Linked DNA regions of Oreochromis niloticus. The protein of the gene in region 2 purifies or fractionates together with the protein of the main gene of each other region. This does not show direct contact. Links are inferred from orthologs where the notes say so. Each region holds a gene or a part of one and is shown on either strand. Other genes may lie near its edges.

Region 1 (7,881 bases), on a different chromosome or scaffold from region 2:
TGTAGTAAATAAAATTGATTTCCTCATCCTACAGACGTCAGTCCCTCCCCAGAATGGCGTCCCCTCCTGCCACTCAGGTGCCATCAAGAGTAGTGGAGAAAGAGGAGAGAGTGGCTCCACCAGTCCAGCGTGAACAGAGGGAGAAAACAAGAACGGCGACCACAACAACCACAACGACGACAAAAGAACCACGAGAGAGGAAAGAGCTCTCAGCTGCTGTGCCTAAAGCTGAGGAGAAGGAGAAAAACCGGGACACCGAGAAAGAGAGGGAAAAGGAGAAGCGGGTGCAGCCGCAGCAGGAGAAAGTGGAGAAACGTGCGGCGGAGCGAGGTAGGACGAAGGAAGACAGGAAAGTGGTGGAGAGGAAGGAGAAGGAAAAGGCCGAGCGACCACCCAAGTCCAAGCCAGCCAAGGTGAAGGCAGAGCCGCCGCCCAAGAAGAGGAAGAAGTGGCTCAAGGAAGTACCTTCATCATCTGACTCAGACTCATCGGACGAGGCAGCTAGCGAAAATGAAAGTGAGACCCTGTTTTAATTCTTTCACTGTAGATGTGTTTGTTTTGGGGTTTTTTTTTCTTATTTTAATTAGAGTGATGGTAGAAGGCTCTGTTTAAAACTGGTTCTCACCCACAGTGCCAGTGAAAGGTGGAGTGAACAACCGTGCCATGAGGGAGATGTTCAGGAGTTACGTGGAGATGCTGGTGAGCACAGCCCTGGACCCTGACATGATCCAAGCCCTGGAGGATACAGACGGTGAGAACCGCACACACATCCTCCTCAACATAATTACCAGTTTTATGTTAACTGAAAAATAAAGAAATAATTATCAGATGCAATTATTAAGTGAGAATCTCTGCTCTAACTGGTCTGGTAGCTCACTTTTCTCTAGCTTAAATATCTGCATTGAAACAACTGGATGTAGGCATTTTCATAAGCAGAAAGTTTGGGCAGGTTGAGTAAACATCACCGTTTCTGTCAAGTATCAACTGCCAGGCTTTAGGTTGAAGCCTCCGGCTGGACAAACAGCCCACACGTTATGAGTTTATGAGCAGTTCAGATAAACCAGTTGTGACAGGTTAGGGGGGGAAGCCCTGGGAGTGCATGAAGTACAGCAGCCAGAGAGACCTGCTTTCAGTTGGCTGCTGGCATTAAAATGATTGGCAGCTACATGAATGATGACTAATGAAACATCTTTTACCTTGATTGGCCATCAGATGAGCTCTACCTCCCTCCGATGAGGAAGATTGACAGCATCCTTAGCGAACAGAAGAGGAGGTTGTTGAGGAGAGTCAGCATGAGCTCTCAACACCAGGTAATCTTCTGTGAATGTGCTGCTTATTTTTCTGTCCCTCTGGCTCACATAATAGAAGGTAATAAAAGTATTTTACACTACTCTGTTTTACCGTCTGTAAAATACACTGATGTTTGTGTTGGAAGAAACCTATTTACACTTTACACAAAGTCAAAGTGTCTTAAGAGGTATTTCATTTTCTTCTGGATGGCTCTTATATCATGTTAGTCACCTCCAGCTTACGATAATGCCATTTCTGCTCCCTGTGCTACTTTTGTTCACCCGAGACTCAGATTGCAGAAGGTTGCCACAACACACCAAAACATTAGTTTGTCATAACAAGAAGATTCTAATGAGGAAAAAAACCTGTTTCGTTTATGGAAATGAGAGGATGCAAATTTAATGACGGATGCCTTAAGGGTAACAATTACCCCTGGTGGTTAAAACTGGTGGATGGATCTCATGCTTGACTTGACATGATGTTGTTTACTTGTTTGAGCTTAAAAGCTGTTAAATCTGCATAAAAAGTATTATATTTTTAACCAATTCATATCTGTAGACATCAGAATTTCAGTATTTTCTTGGTTTAGTTAGGTTTTTATTTGAAAATGTTTTTGTTTTAGTTGAGCTTTTATTAGTTTAAGTGTTACTCCTAGTATTTTTAATTGTATGGAGGGCATATGCAAAGCACTAGACTAACAGATTACTGACACTAAGGGTATTTTCTTAATAATATTTTAGTTTAATTTTTAGTTTAAAAATATAGTATTTTTGTTTTAGTTGACTACAATGGTTTTTCATCCAGTTTTAGTTTTGAGTTTAATTTTAGCCAACTAATAACCTTGGTAGACCCTGTAACAGGATGCCTGCAGGTAAATGAAATTGGTTTAGTTCATTTATTTCATGATCCTCAAACTCGAGGACACTGGTGTTTTTTGTGTGACTGTTTTGTGGCTGTTCCTCACTGCCCCTCTCTCTACAGGAGGTCCTGCATGCTTACCCCCAGATCATTGTGGACCCCCTGGATTCAGGAGTGGTGAGGGTCCGGCTAAGCGGCGATGCTTACAACCGCAAGACCCTCAACAGAGTCAAGAAGACCCTGCCTAAACCACAGGTATGCATTATTTTGTGTTTGCTAAACGCTATGAATAGTTAGAAATCCCAGCATATAGCAGTACATCTGTGCACAGTTCTGTGAAATTTTGTGTGACTATAAATTTTGCCAATCACAAAAAAGCCTTGAACCACAATAGACACTGAAATCACTGCACTGACAGAATTAATCATTACTGTAAAGGGTGGTAGGTGGACACAAACACCTGTTGCAAGTTTCCAAACCCAGAACAGCAACACTTAATTTTACTTTACTTTTTTTTTCCTTAAATAAATAAAATTGACCCCAGCAATAATCCGAGTTCTTTTTAATAGGACCTTAAATTGTCAGCCGAGTCTTATCGGATCTACAGTCTCTACCACTCCCTGCATCATTATAAATACCACACCTTCTTACAGTGCAAGAAAGAGGTAAGAAACCATGTCGTTTCTGTTCATTTTGAAGCTTCTACTGACGTGTGTTTGGTTTGGTTACAATTGTCTCTCCTTCCATCCCATTCTCCCAGACCAACACCATTGAGCAGGCAGCTGAGGACCCAGGCCAAGAGGAAGTGGTGCAGCAGTGCATGGCCAACCAGAACTGGCTGGACAGCCTCTTCAGCTCCTTCATCGAGCTGCTCACGCTCAGCACCAAAGCCTGATTCAGCCACATAAAGACACAGACAGTGAATTAAAGTAAGAGTATTTGAAACAAAAAGAAAATACAGAAAAAGGAAAGAGATGGATCCTACTGTACAGCCCCCTCCCCCTCCCCTCTTCAAATCTCTAAGGCCCTTGATGAACACGAGAGGGTCTGTTGACGTGACCTTGGACACTGGCCTGTTTTTTGTTTTTGTTTTTTTTTATTTGTTTGTTTTTTGTTTTCTTGTTGTTGATCAATGACTAAAGAAACGTCTTACTTTGTGAGAAGGGGACCCCCACTCGTGGTCACGGGGCACCGAAGGGTCAAGAGGAAACTGATTGTTTTACGAAAAAAAAGGGAGAGAGGCAAGGTGGAAGGACAAAGAGGAGGATCGCCAAGTCAACGTGGGAGCCACTGACATCCTGTTAACTGTGTGTCATAAAGACAATAGCTCAAAGAGAAACTATTACCGCTTAGTTTTTACATAAATTATTTTTTGAAAAGACTAACATCAGCTGTTGGCTTTTGAAAAGATTAGAGGAGGGCGAGGATGCTTTTTAAAAACCGCGTGCGCAGCAAGCAGCGTGATCGGGGACTCACTCGTCGGCAGATAGAAACCTGAAATGTGTTAATAAACGCTCTCTCTCTATCGCTATCTCTCATTCTGTGCTATGTGAAGGGCAGCACCAGTCAGCTGTGTGATAATATATAAACACATTTTTATTATTTATATGAGGAGGTTTTTAACTTAAGCTCTCACAAGTGCTGGTTTGCTGCCCTTAATTGCTTTTTTTTTTTTTTTTTTTTTTTTTTTTTTTTAAAAGAGTTGTTTTCCACAGGTTCAGTATACAATCATAACCCACATATCCAAGTCGTCTTCCCCTCTATCCAAAAAGACCAGACGTTGAGACAGACATGTATCAAATACAGTGGGTGTAAAATAACAGCAAAAGGAAAAAAAAAACAAAAAACGGAAGGGAAAAAAGGAGACTGGCAAAAATCTATTTGACTCTTTACATTGTTGTGCTTCAGTTCAATCATCATTCATGCAGGTGCAAAGAAAAAGAAGTAAACTGTCCATCTCCCACGCGGGAAGGAGGAGTATAAACGAGGAATATTTAAACATGAGATAGGCATTTCATTTTTATCATTTTGATGTTTGTGCATACTATGACTTATTTTGAAAACAATCTAATTTTCCATAAAAAAGGAAAAAAAAGATGTGTAAATACTGTACAGTTCTTGATGAAATTCTTTGTCCTTCTGTACATTAACTCTCCTGTATTTGAGAAACAAATAAAAGCTGCAAAGAACAAATGGTTTCATTTCCCTATATATGCACACACATACATATGGCTGTGCATGTGTGTCCATCCATATTAGCAGGGACATTTCAACTTATTGAGACCTTAAGAGGAAGGTCTGTTTGGGTGGCTCTTAAATTTAAAATGAAAGTCCCAGTTTACACAAAAATGTGCTCAACTTCTAGTCCTACTTGGCTGTTTTGACACAAATCAAAAAGGACAGAAGTTTCTGTATTGCAGTTCACCCAGGTATACGTTTTTCGAATTTGGTACCAACCGATGTACTTTCCATAAAGACATTAATTTTCAAAGCAGGGTATTTCCATTTGTCTTAATTGTTTACCTCAGAGGGATTAGATGTGCATTATGCCAGTGTGTGTGTGTGTGTGTGTGTGTGTGTAACCCCTCCTAGCGGGACCAGCTGGTATGAACCCGTCGTGACGTCACATCTGGAAAACGAAACCGTGAACTCGGAGTTTCCCGAGAAAGACTTGTTAGCCGGAAAGCAGCCGCACTCAGGGCAGTGTTTAAAGGATCTGCAGCGGGGACGGTATGTGACAGTTTGGAGCACAGCTTGAAGCGACACGACACACAGCTACCGTACAGCCGTCACTGTACTGATTTCTGCACCCAGGAAACGCTCTGACTTTCAAGTCAACGCTCATCTGCACCGACTGAAACGTCATCACTGAAGGTGGGAGAGTTTTTGTTGTTAGCGCTGGCACCGCTGTCCCAGAGTGGGATCAATACAAAGGTTACTACTATAACTACAGCATTGTTCAAAGACTGTACTCGTTTCCGATCCTGGAGTGTTTGCACTTGAGTATGTTTGGTTCAGGGAGCTGTAAGGACCGCTTATGCTCTACTTTGACGACAGTTAAACAACAAGACTAGCCTAAATAACTGTTATTATTAAAATATGACCTAAAATAATGAAAATAAATGCTGTGTGGAAGATTTTTAGGATTATATAAATACTTTCATATATTAAATTACACTTTAATACATTATAAGCACTTAGTATTTAGTATTATTACACTTTAATACTATTTTATATTATCGTAAGTAATGTCGTTAATTAGTTAATTAATTTTTATAATTACACCGTTTCTACTGTTGCTGAACAGCTGTTGTCTATGTGCCCGCTTCCTCTTTCATGCAACTCAGAATTGGCAATAAAAACCTGTAATCGTCCCAGCTGCACGACAGCTTTCCTGACATCCGGATGTTCATGCTCAGGCATTTTTTCTTCTTCTTAAACCTTTGACAGTCTAATGCATATTTGATCATCTAATTGAAACCTTCATTTAAATTGGGCCCTTTTTTCTGTTAACTCACTCATGCTAATATAATAGTGTCAGTTATAGATTACTTTTTTGCTGTTGCTGCATGAGGTGTGAGACTAAATAGCACCATCTGCAGGCAAGCATGGAATTATAGTTCAAATGAATGCATAATCTAAAAAAGAAAATTAATTATAAATAAATATGAATATACTGTTCTTGAGTATTTTGTTAGAGCACTACTCAATGTAAGGTTTATGCCAAAGTACTGGTAATTACCAAAATATGTATTTTTTTTATATTTCTGTAAATTTAATCAACCAGTCTGCGCTCTTTAATCAAAATCATATTTTTAGTGTAAAAATATAAGTATTGTTGTCATGTGTGATTTTTAAAATGTACTGTTTTACAAAAAAAAGCAGAAAAAGTAGGAAGGTAAATGATTATTTTTGGATTAAGATGCAAAATTACAGTTATTTATTTTCATTCCTGAACAAAAAATGAGTTTGAGTGTTTTTTATGCTTTATTAATTCCTGACTTTCAGAGATGACCAGTGTGCCGATTAAAATTTGGATATAAAAACGTGAATTCAGTTTGTTGTTTACTGAATAAATATGAGTCAAAGTTTTTGAGAGATTTCTATTTTTTTGTTTGTTTTCTTCTTTTTATGACTGGTGAGCTACTAAATTTGTCTGTATGTAAATAATTATATAGATCTAACCTCCAGTACAGACAAGCTATTTTAATGAACTGCCTGAATGAAGGAATAGCCTACATCACATCCAAGTTACTATACAGTGATTGTTCATATGATAGCAAAAGAGTACAGGATCAGTAAGTGGTACATCAGGCTGTGATGACAGAGCTCACGTTATATTTTGTCTTATTGTAGAAATGGCTCATTCAAAACCGCTGCTCATCCCGTGGCTGCGGGAACAGATTAACAGCAACAAATATCCTGGTGTCCAGTGGACAAACCCAGAGCAAACAAAGTTCTGCATCCCGTGGAAACACGCTTTGAGACAGGACTCCTCTGACACTGACATTCTCATCTTTAAGGTAACCATCAGGGTCTGACATGACATGACAATCTAATAGAAACCAGTCATGAGCATGAATTTGATATCAGCTATCCGTCCATCTTCTGCTTATCTCATTCTTTGTCCACTAATCCGTTCTTTGTTAGTCTTTAGCCTGTTCATATCAGCAGTTTCTTCCGGCGTTCATCCTGGTTTTGCTTCGCAGGCCTGGGCGGAGGTGAGCGGCAGCGGCCGGGCTAATGGAGACCCCTCAGTCTGGAAGAGGAACTTCCGCAGCGCCCTACGAGCTAAAGGCTTCAAAATGCTGGATGACAAGAAGAATGACGCTGCTAACCCCCATAAAGTCTTTCAGTGGCCGGACGAGTCAGCGTCAAAAGGTGAGGACCTGCTGACCATTTGGATCTTAGTTACAGTCGATAGAAAGCAAATTCAAAAGAAATTGTTTGCTTATTTCAAGCAAACTCTGCTGTTTTGGCACTCAAAATGCACAGGAAAAAAAAAAGATCAGCAAGATGTTATGCTTTATACTTATTTTATAACTGCAATCAATCAATTTCATATTGCATTTGCAATTTAAATCTGATAATGCAGTTGTGCACCGCATGCTCAGTTCCTGTCTGTCCATGCAGCACATTTTGCATACACTCGTGTCTCTGTATCTCTAACTGACATGTTTCTCAGAAAATAAAATAAATGCTTGTTTTCACTCCTGAAGCTAACTCGTGTGCTGGATCCCAGGAACAAGATGGGGCTGATTTGCTTGCAGGTCTGGGCATTTCCATTCAAGAGGTGAGACTGCTCTGTTGGATTGTTTTACCTGTAATAGGACAGATGGTAACAAAAAAGAGGTATTACTGAAATGCTGGGTATTGATGTAAGTGTATAAGATGTGTATTGGTGTTATCCCAGTCCCAGGGCGTCCACTATTTAGAAGGATGTCTCCTCCTTCCAGAAGACGCTGTGTTTTCGGGTGAGAGCAATCGCCTTTTTCATTGGATTTAGAAGGGGAACATTAGTCTGCCGCTTATTAGCGACAATCGCCATCTGAGTGTGTCTGAACTGGTCCATATCTGCCAGCAGAATCTGCTGCCAGCCCGGATATTCTCCAGGAGTGTCTCAAAGGAATGAACATCGGCCCTGAAGCAGGTAGGCTTATCAGCTCTGCTTATCATTTTCCTCCTCGCTGCTGCTGCAGTCAGAGCAGAAAACAAAGAGTATCCGAGGTACTT
Region 2 (7,849 bases):
AACTGTATGAAACTCCAAACACCTTCAACCATGAACACCTGTAGCCCCACCCTCTCCACCACCAGGTGGGCTCATTTCCTCAGCCCTGACTCAAAGGTGCAGGAGGGGGAGAAGCCTACAGTTCATGAGTGTAGTCAGTCTTTAAGCGGTGTCGCTGCTCCCTCCTGCGCTGGAATAATCAGCAGGCCCCGCCCTCTTCTTCCTGTTACCTCCATGTTTGACAGCGGCGAGGACTTTAACTTTGACGACGACTTCCTTGTTAAACGTCGCCCAGAGTGACCGTGCATTTGTTTGTTTCTAAAGAGGAGACTCTGACAGACTGTGCTTTTCTTCATGCTTTTATTGCTCACACAGAAACGTTTATAGGATGATCAATAAAGAGAACAGAAACATTGATTAATGGACAGTATTGATTGTCATTCAGACAACAGAGTAGAAATAATCAGATGCAGGTTCTGACATCGTGATGATATCATCAGTGCTAGTGTGGGCGGGGCTGCTTGGCATACTGGATGGCGTCCAGCGCAGCGCCGATGTCAAAGTTCTTGGCCTGAAGGAGGCGGGTGAGCCAGCCGCCTTCGTCCGTGAAGCCCATTGAGAGCATCGAGGCGAGCGACTCAACCAGGCGGGGATCGGCCTCTGAGGACAAAAGGTCAGAGGTCAGCAGGGTTTAGAGGTCAGTACTAACAGAACTAAAGTCACCGAGTGTGGACGCCAGCTTACCTTGAGGCAGGTGTGGGTACAGTGCCGCCTCCCTCAGCCCGCTGGGGCCCGCCTGCCCCTCAGACAGGGGCCCCTGCTCCTGGTTGTCAGGCTGCAGGGACTGCAGTTCACCTGTGGAGGGGTCGACCTCTTTAGAGCTCAGGTGGGTCCACTCCTCATCAGAGTCCTTGCTCACCTGAGGGTCACTACGCTACAAGGTCACAGGAGATGTTAAAAGGGAGTTCTTCCTCCCTGCTGTCCCGTCAGGATCAGCTGATTGTTCTTTCTTCTGATATTTACATCATGAAGCACTTTGAGGTTTTATAAAAATAAAAGTTACCTTTGCTCCCAGACTGGCCCCGCCCTCACTGCTCGTATGCTCCATCTCCTCATCGCCCTCACCCCCCCCACTCTGAGTAGGTGGGGTCACCTTGGTCCGTTGGCCCTCGTGCTCCACGTCGATGTCCACATCGATACCTGTGTAAAACACACGCACCACTTCCTGTTTTAGAGCCAGCTAGAGATGTTCACTCATCTCACATGCACAAACACAGTGACGTCTTAGTCTTTACCTTACAGCATCAAACAACTGTTTAAATAAGGCTGACACTCACCTAGTGGGCTCAACATGGCTGCCACACCCTCGCCAATGTTCTTCAGGAAGTCCACATTGGTCTGAGAGCCTGCAGGGAGAAATGAAAGATGTTTTAAAATCACACAGATGTCACACATAACATTATTTTAGTGCTGTGACAGGATGTTTAAAGGGCCACACAAACGCGGCTCTGATGTCATGACCATTCAGTCCGCACACAGCCTTTTTATTTTGAAATGTTGCTGCATTTTCCCTCTTGTACATCGTTTCCTGACCTTATCTGCTCTGATCTGACTTATTGATCAAGTATCACTTTAACCAAGATGGCAGAACTCACCAGAGGGGGTGTTGGCATCAGCAGCAGGTTTAGAAGGGCTAGACTCGTTCTGGTCCTGGTCGTTGTCCTGGTTCTGAGCCTGGTTCTGGTTCAGGTTCCACATGCAGTGTCTCATCCTCTTCATCCACTTCCCCCGAGGAAACCACTGAAAAACACAGCCTCACAGTCATGTTTTGAAGGGCCTGAACAGGACACCTGCAGACCTGCACAGGTAGACTCACCTGCAGTGGATGCCAAATGGGCAGTAGAGCGTGCTCAGTGTGCTTCCCCTTAGCCTGGCAGGAGGAGCAGAGGTCGTAGTTCGGACACACTGAACACTTGAAGCGGGTCCCGATCACAGGGCCATCGCAGCCATCACAGGTAACGTTGGGGTGCATGGCGTAGGGTGGGGCCACATGAGGAGGAGGCGGACCCATGTGTGGCCCATGGGGCGGGGCATGAGGACCTCCAGCATGGGGAGGTGGAGGACCTCCAGCATGGGGAGGTGGAGGACCTCCAGCAGGGGGAGGGGGAGGCCCAAAGGCAAAGGGAGGGAAGGCATGGAGAGGGAAGTCCCGTCTGTGCTCCTTCTTCTCTGTAAGAATGAAGCTTTATTAGCACAGCTGGAGGACAGATACAGCGAGCAATAACATTTATACAAACCGCAAACATACCTCGGATGAAGAGGCGGAAGGTGGAGTCCTTCATGCACCCCAGACCCATCATCAGCTCATCATCAGAGGAGAAGGCCACCAGGTCCCCATCTTCATCTGCATCATCATCATCATCATCATCATCATTAGTCACACGCTGGTGAACTACAAAGGCTGCAGGTGACTTTCTAATTCCAGACTAACTTTGAGGGTGTTTGTCCGTTTACATGACTATAAATAAAGATTAATTCAACAGCGGATTATGGTTTCATGCGTTTACAGGGAAACCGGTGAGTCTGGTCAGGTGAGTGTGCGCCTGCGCACTAACTCAGTTACGTCCCCACTCTTACAGTCGCAACTTAAGTCAATAACAATCCAGGAAGCGATCAGAGTGTAATTCCCTCATCTGAACCCCCGCGCGCTCACCTCGGTAAAACAGGTTGAAGTTGTTCAGGTTTCCAAACACGTCCGCAGTTTTCCTGCTCAGGTACTCGAAGCTGCAGGATACGTCCTGATCAACCGCGAACCTGCGGATCTCCTTCACCGCCTCGTCCTTCCCCAGCAGGTAGGCCTTCACAGTCACCGACATCCTGCCACTGACACCGGGTACACCTGTGTCTCTGTCCGCTGATCGTCAACCGGAGGCTGGGTGTATGTCTGCGTGTTGTTCGCTGATAGTCAACCGGAGGCCGGGTTTATCTCTGTCTATGTCCGCTGAGAGGTGTCCAGGTCCAGGAGTTGGTGAGTTTGTGACGCACTTTGAAATCTCTCGCTCTGCTTTATGTTTACTTCCGCGACAGACGTGGGAAACGACGTATGTGACGTCAGGGAAGTAAACACAGATTCGGCCTTCTATTGGCTTTTTCTCAGAGTCCCGCCCACAGGACCAATGGCAGCCGAGGAATGACTCGACGGCTTTCCAATGAGGTACTTTCCCTGAGTCATGTGACCTGTTTAAAGTTCATAATAAAATATCGCAAAGTCATCGTTACAAGACGGTTTCAATACCTGATCACAGAGCAGGCTTTCGACATGAAACTGATCATCAATAATCAGGCGGACTGATCAGAGCTCACAGCTGACGGGGTTTGGATTAATAAATCAATCATTCTGGCTCTGCTGCTTACTCTCCAATCAAAACCAAAGATATGCTCATGGTCACGTGACTGAAGCGTTTTAAACCTGATCCTGAGATCTGGACAATAAAACCTTTCAACTGATAACTTAACCTTTATCTCTAAAAACACCCAGTAAACATTTTAAATAAAGTTTTAAACTTCAGAACGAGTGTCCAAGTTCTTAGGTCTGACTGATTTATTGATCTTTGACGCGTTTGTATTCATGTCTATTAAACTTATCTGTTTTTCTGGCAGCCTCGGCCAATCAGCAGCAACTCTTCAGGCAGCTGACTCTGAGTCACTGCAGACAGGAGACGGTGACGCAGAGTCACAAGACTAAGATCCACTACCCATGATTCATCAGTGCAAGCACCCTCCCCAACACACACACACACACACAGTCAGACTAAAACAGTGCTGTGCGTGTGTGAGTACTTCCTGTACTCTGATTACAGAAAGTACATTGTGCAGTATTTTTCCTCCACATTACTGCCGTAACTTTGTAGATCCATCAGCTGATCAATGAGTGAAACAAATCAAAATTTATTTCAGCTTTAACAAACAAATCAATACACATGAATCATTAATCCATAATGTTTACCAGCTATGACTGAACACTTTAATGTCCAAACAGAGGCGCACACACAAAAAAGAAAAAAATACAATTCAGCAGCAAATAATATCAACATCATGGCCTGTGGTCCAATGGCAGCAGGACTCAGCTGTGGTCTCAGAGTGATGTCAGATGTACAGGGGGTGGTACTGGCGGTGAGTAAGTCTCTTCCTGCAGGTGGGACAGGTGTGTGATGATGTCAGAGAGTCTCTCAAACACTGACTGCAGAACACGTGACCACAACGGGTGGACACGACCAATCGGCCGCTCCCAACGATCTGCGAAAAAAAAAAGAAAAAGAAAAAAAAAAAGAAAAAAAGAAGCGAACAAAGAAATTAAAAAAAAAAACAACAAAAAACAAAAAAACAAAACCCACAACAGCCAATCAGAGCAATGCACTCAAACATCACTGTAATACTTTCAAAGTAAAACACAAAACCACACTGAAAGTTTCAAAATAAGAGTCAGGATATGTATGTTTATTGATTAGGTTCACTGATCAGTGGCCATGTGAATGTAGTAAAGCCTGTATTTCATTACCCACAATGCCTCAGGAAGCACACATCTCATCAAGCATTGTGCTGGACTATTTTTTAGACACACTCGAGTCACCAACACCAATTTGTTCTGAGCACGCTCACACTGAAGGAAGCGTCCCCTGCATTAAATCAGCAGCGAGCTGAGGGCTGTAAAGTCGATCTTGAAGGTTACTCAGAGCTCACACTAGCTGTGTCCCAATTCCTAGGCCGCATCCTTCGGAGGACCCGGGCTTCGTGGTCTATGTGAGCTGGGTCCTCCGAAGACCGAGAAGGCCGGAAGTGAGAGGCTGTGAAAGGGGACGGTCTAGCCTTCAGATTTGTGTCACCAGCCATCTCGATGGGCATGAATAAACTCAGCCATCTGCTCCTTGCTATCTAAAATATAACAGGACACTGGAGTAAATTCTCGATCATCTCGACCATCTTCTGTATGGACAGCAAAGGAAGAATTTCATTGCACAGAGAAAAGCTATTTCTTCTACACACATGACAATAAACACTTTGAATCTTGAATCTCGCACTTTGTTTAATCAGTTTTCTGTTTGACGTTTATTCAGCTGTGTGAAAACCCCCGAGGAACCCTCCCGATGGATTAATAAAGTTTTATTATCTAATCTAATAACTTTTATCTCAGCCAAACCGATTTACTCCGGAACAAATAAAACAGTGAAAAAAGCCAAACAAAATAACATTTAAGTTATCTGAATGACTTGTATATCATGTTTAACCTGAGTAGCCAAAGACGGCGGCGGGTCTGATAACGATGTGCCGGGTGTCTGCTGTTCTCTAGTGAGCCTCGACCTCCCGGCTAGCTATCGAGCCGGTGGGTAACAGACATCTCCAAAAACGTCGCGCTTTTGCAATTATGCGATTTCTTGATAAACCAAGCAGATATTTGAAGTTTACACAGCTACTTTCTCGCCTGGAAATATGTTAAAAGTTTATTTTGTGACCCAGAAAGATTAATAAGAGTAATATTAAACTAAACTGGAATTGACTGGGCCGTGCTATGAATTCTGGGATACGGTGGGCCACGAAGGACACACCCGACCCATCCTTCAAAATCTCGGAAAATGAAGGACGCATTTGGAGGAGTCTTCAATTTGGGACAGCCTACCTCACGTCGTTCAAATGCCGCCTCAGGAGGATACAGCCTAGGTTTTGGGACACAGCTAGTGAATGCTGCTCGGTTTGCAGTCCTGAATATGATGGCACAAGCAGGATTCACTGCACTGTTAATGTTAGCTATGTTATATTGCTGCCTCTGTTCGGTGGCGTCGAGCCAAACGGACTTTAACGTGTGTTTGAACGAGCTGACGGTTCACTCGTTAAGCTGAAAGAAAGATGCTTTAATCACAGGAGTCACACATGTGTCCACTGGACCATCTGGGAACTCTTCTTGTTTAGTACTCGTAATAACACAAACACTAAATCCTCCTTCTCTTGTGCTGTTTTGTAGCAGTGTATACACCTGAGACTGTCACCTGTCTGTCTGTCCTGCACTCTCTCTCTGTTTCTTTCTCTCTGATTGTGGAATAAAAGTATGAACATGTATTTATAAGTTACACTTGTGTTTGAATCCTGCAGCTTATCGCACATTTGATTTCCATGTGTGACAACTGCAAGTGTCCAGAGTGAGGACAGACTGAGGGACCCACTGCTGCACATCATCTGTGAGGCTTTGCACCCCTGATGATCCACCAGGACAAACTCAGCAGTGTGTGAGGAAGAGGAGGAGGAAGAGCCAGCAGCAGCTGACAGATTGAGAGAATAGACAGACTGTTCCCTGTTTGTGAAGGACTGCTAGGAAAGTTTAAAAGAACTAATTGTCTGTCCTGAATCAGTCTTATTAGGTAATGTTCAAATCATTTGATTATTCCAGTGTTTTCAGTGTGGGAGAAAGTACTCAGGGCCTTCAAGTTACACACTATGAAAGGCAGCAACAAGTTTAATATTCAGAAACCTAAAGTATGTATCAGCAGCAGAATGGAGCTAAAAATAAATGTTTGTTTCAGTTCTATGAAGCTTTGAGTATTTTGGATTAGTAGCACTGCTGTGTTTGTTGCATCCTATTGCTGTAATTGTTTATATGCTTTATATATTCTGAGGTAAGTTGATCTATAGTGTTACATCATTTTCTATAAGGATGTTATGTGTTTGTATACTTTCTGAGCACGCTCACCCTGAAGGAAGCGTCCTCGGAGCTCACACTGAGCATGTGCAGCAGGATAAAGAAAGAACCTCGCTGCTGGCACTCTGTGTCAGTAAAGTTCATTTTTCTGCTTTATTCATGCTGAACAGTCTGAACACACACACATAGGGCTGTGCGATATGACCAAAATCTCATATCCCGATATTAAGACATCTATCGTCGATATAACGATATAAATTACAAAAATGTAACATTTCCTGTAAATTCTGTGAATCTCGGGCATCTCGACTTGCGTGAAGTGTTTCCAGCTGGGCGTCGTGTACCTGGAGTCGAGTGTGTTAACTGATGCATGGAACTATACATTTTTAGACGTAAGTTGTAACAGCCGCCGTTTTCTTTGTGAGTATTTATTACACAGCGTGCTGCGAAGAAAAGTCTGTTCTAACGTTTGAGTCTAAGGTTTATTTTTTAGCACCTGGCGGCTCTTTTTTGCTTCTCATCCGTTAATACTCTGCATCTTTCACGTGACTCGTTTTATTTTGAAAAGCCTCAACAGGATCTTGAGCTTTATTGTGAAAGGTTTATGTGGAAAATAAACAAGCGGACACAAGGTGGTTTTACCGTTGTTGTTGCTAACGAAAACGCATAAAAAACAAGCGCTTGTCCGTCTGTAGTGTGGTTATATTAAATATAAGAGAATAAGAGAAAGAGAGAACTTTAAGAAATTAATATAGCCACTACAGTGACCATCAAAATGATGAAAAAATATTGCCGTAAACAGTTTATTTTGCGACACCACGAAACAAACGATAGCGTAAAATGAAGCGATAGACGTTTTTCTATCGTCATCCGATATATATCGTTATATCGAACAGCCCTACACACACACACACACACACACACACACACACACACACACACACACACACAGGTGTGACTGACCTCTGAGTATCCGTCCAGACACACAGGACAGCTGATTGTCCCTGGAGTTGACCTGAAACACAAAAACATTTGAGGGGGGTCACTGACAGGGTCAGTGTATCACCTGCAGAAGTGTGTAGGGGTCGGTGTATCACCTGGAGGTGTTTGTCGGTGGCAGGAGGGTGGCACTGAGGACGGGGGGTGTGTCTTCATCTTCATCGCTGCTAACAAGATAACTCT

Evidence for each region. Proteins that work in one complex are often made in the same cells at the same time.
Region 1: the proteins of sqstm1 (region 2) and irf3 purify together in Homo sapiens (affinity purification with western blotting; 4 studies listed by BioGRID). This does not show direct contact. The link is inferred for Oreochromis niloticus from reciprocal best matches to the Homo sapiens genes SQSTM1 and IRF3.

What each region holds. Positions count from the first base shown.
Region 1 is NC_031973.2:18,010,392-18,018,272, reverse strand, and holds the start of irf3 (interferon regulatory factor 3), read left to right. Parts: upstream 1-4,775; 5' UTR 4,776-5,022; intron 5,023-6,504; 5' UTR 6,505-6,506; coding exon 6,507-6,671; intron 6,672-6,857; coding exon 6,858-7,029; intron 7,030-7,367; coding exon 7,368-7,441; intron 7,442-7,561; coding exon 7,562-7,622; intron 7,623-7,732; coding exon 7,733-7,798; intron 7,799-7,881.
Region 2 is NC_031966.2:36,315,634-36,323,482, forward strand, and holds sqstm1 (sequestosome-1), read right to left. Parts: upstream 3,035-7,849; 5' UTR 2,856-3,034; coding exon 2,693-2,855; intron 2,384-2,692; coding exon 2,288-2,383; intron 2,209-2,287; coding exon 1,856-2,208; intron 1,780-1,855; coding exon 1,635-1,779; intron 1,386-1,634; coding exon 1,317-1,385; intron 1,180-1,316; coding exon 1,043-1,179; intron 914-1,042; coding exon 724-913; intron 640-723; coding exon 482-639; 3' UTR 323-481; downstream 1-322. Other genes in the region: uncharacterized protein mrnip, read left to right, coding at 1-279; E3 ubiquitin-protein ligase RNF4, read right to left, coding at 4,126-4,275, 7,631-7,682, 7,765-7,849. UniProt on the Homo sapiens protein: Molecular adapter required for selective macroautophagy (aggrephagy) by acting as a bridge between polyubiquitinated proteins and autophagosomes.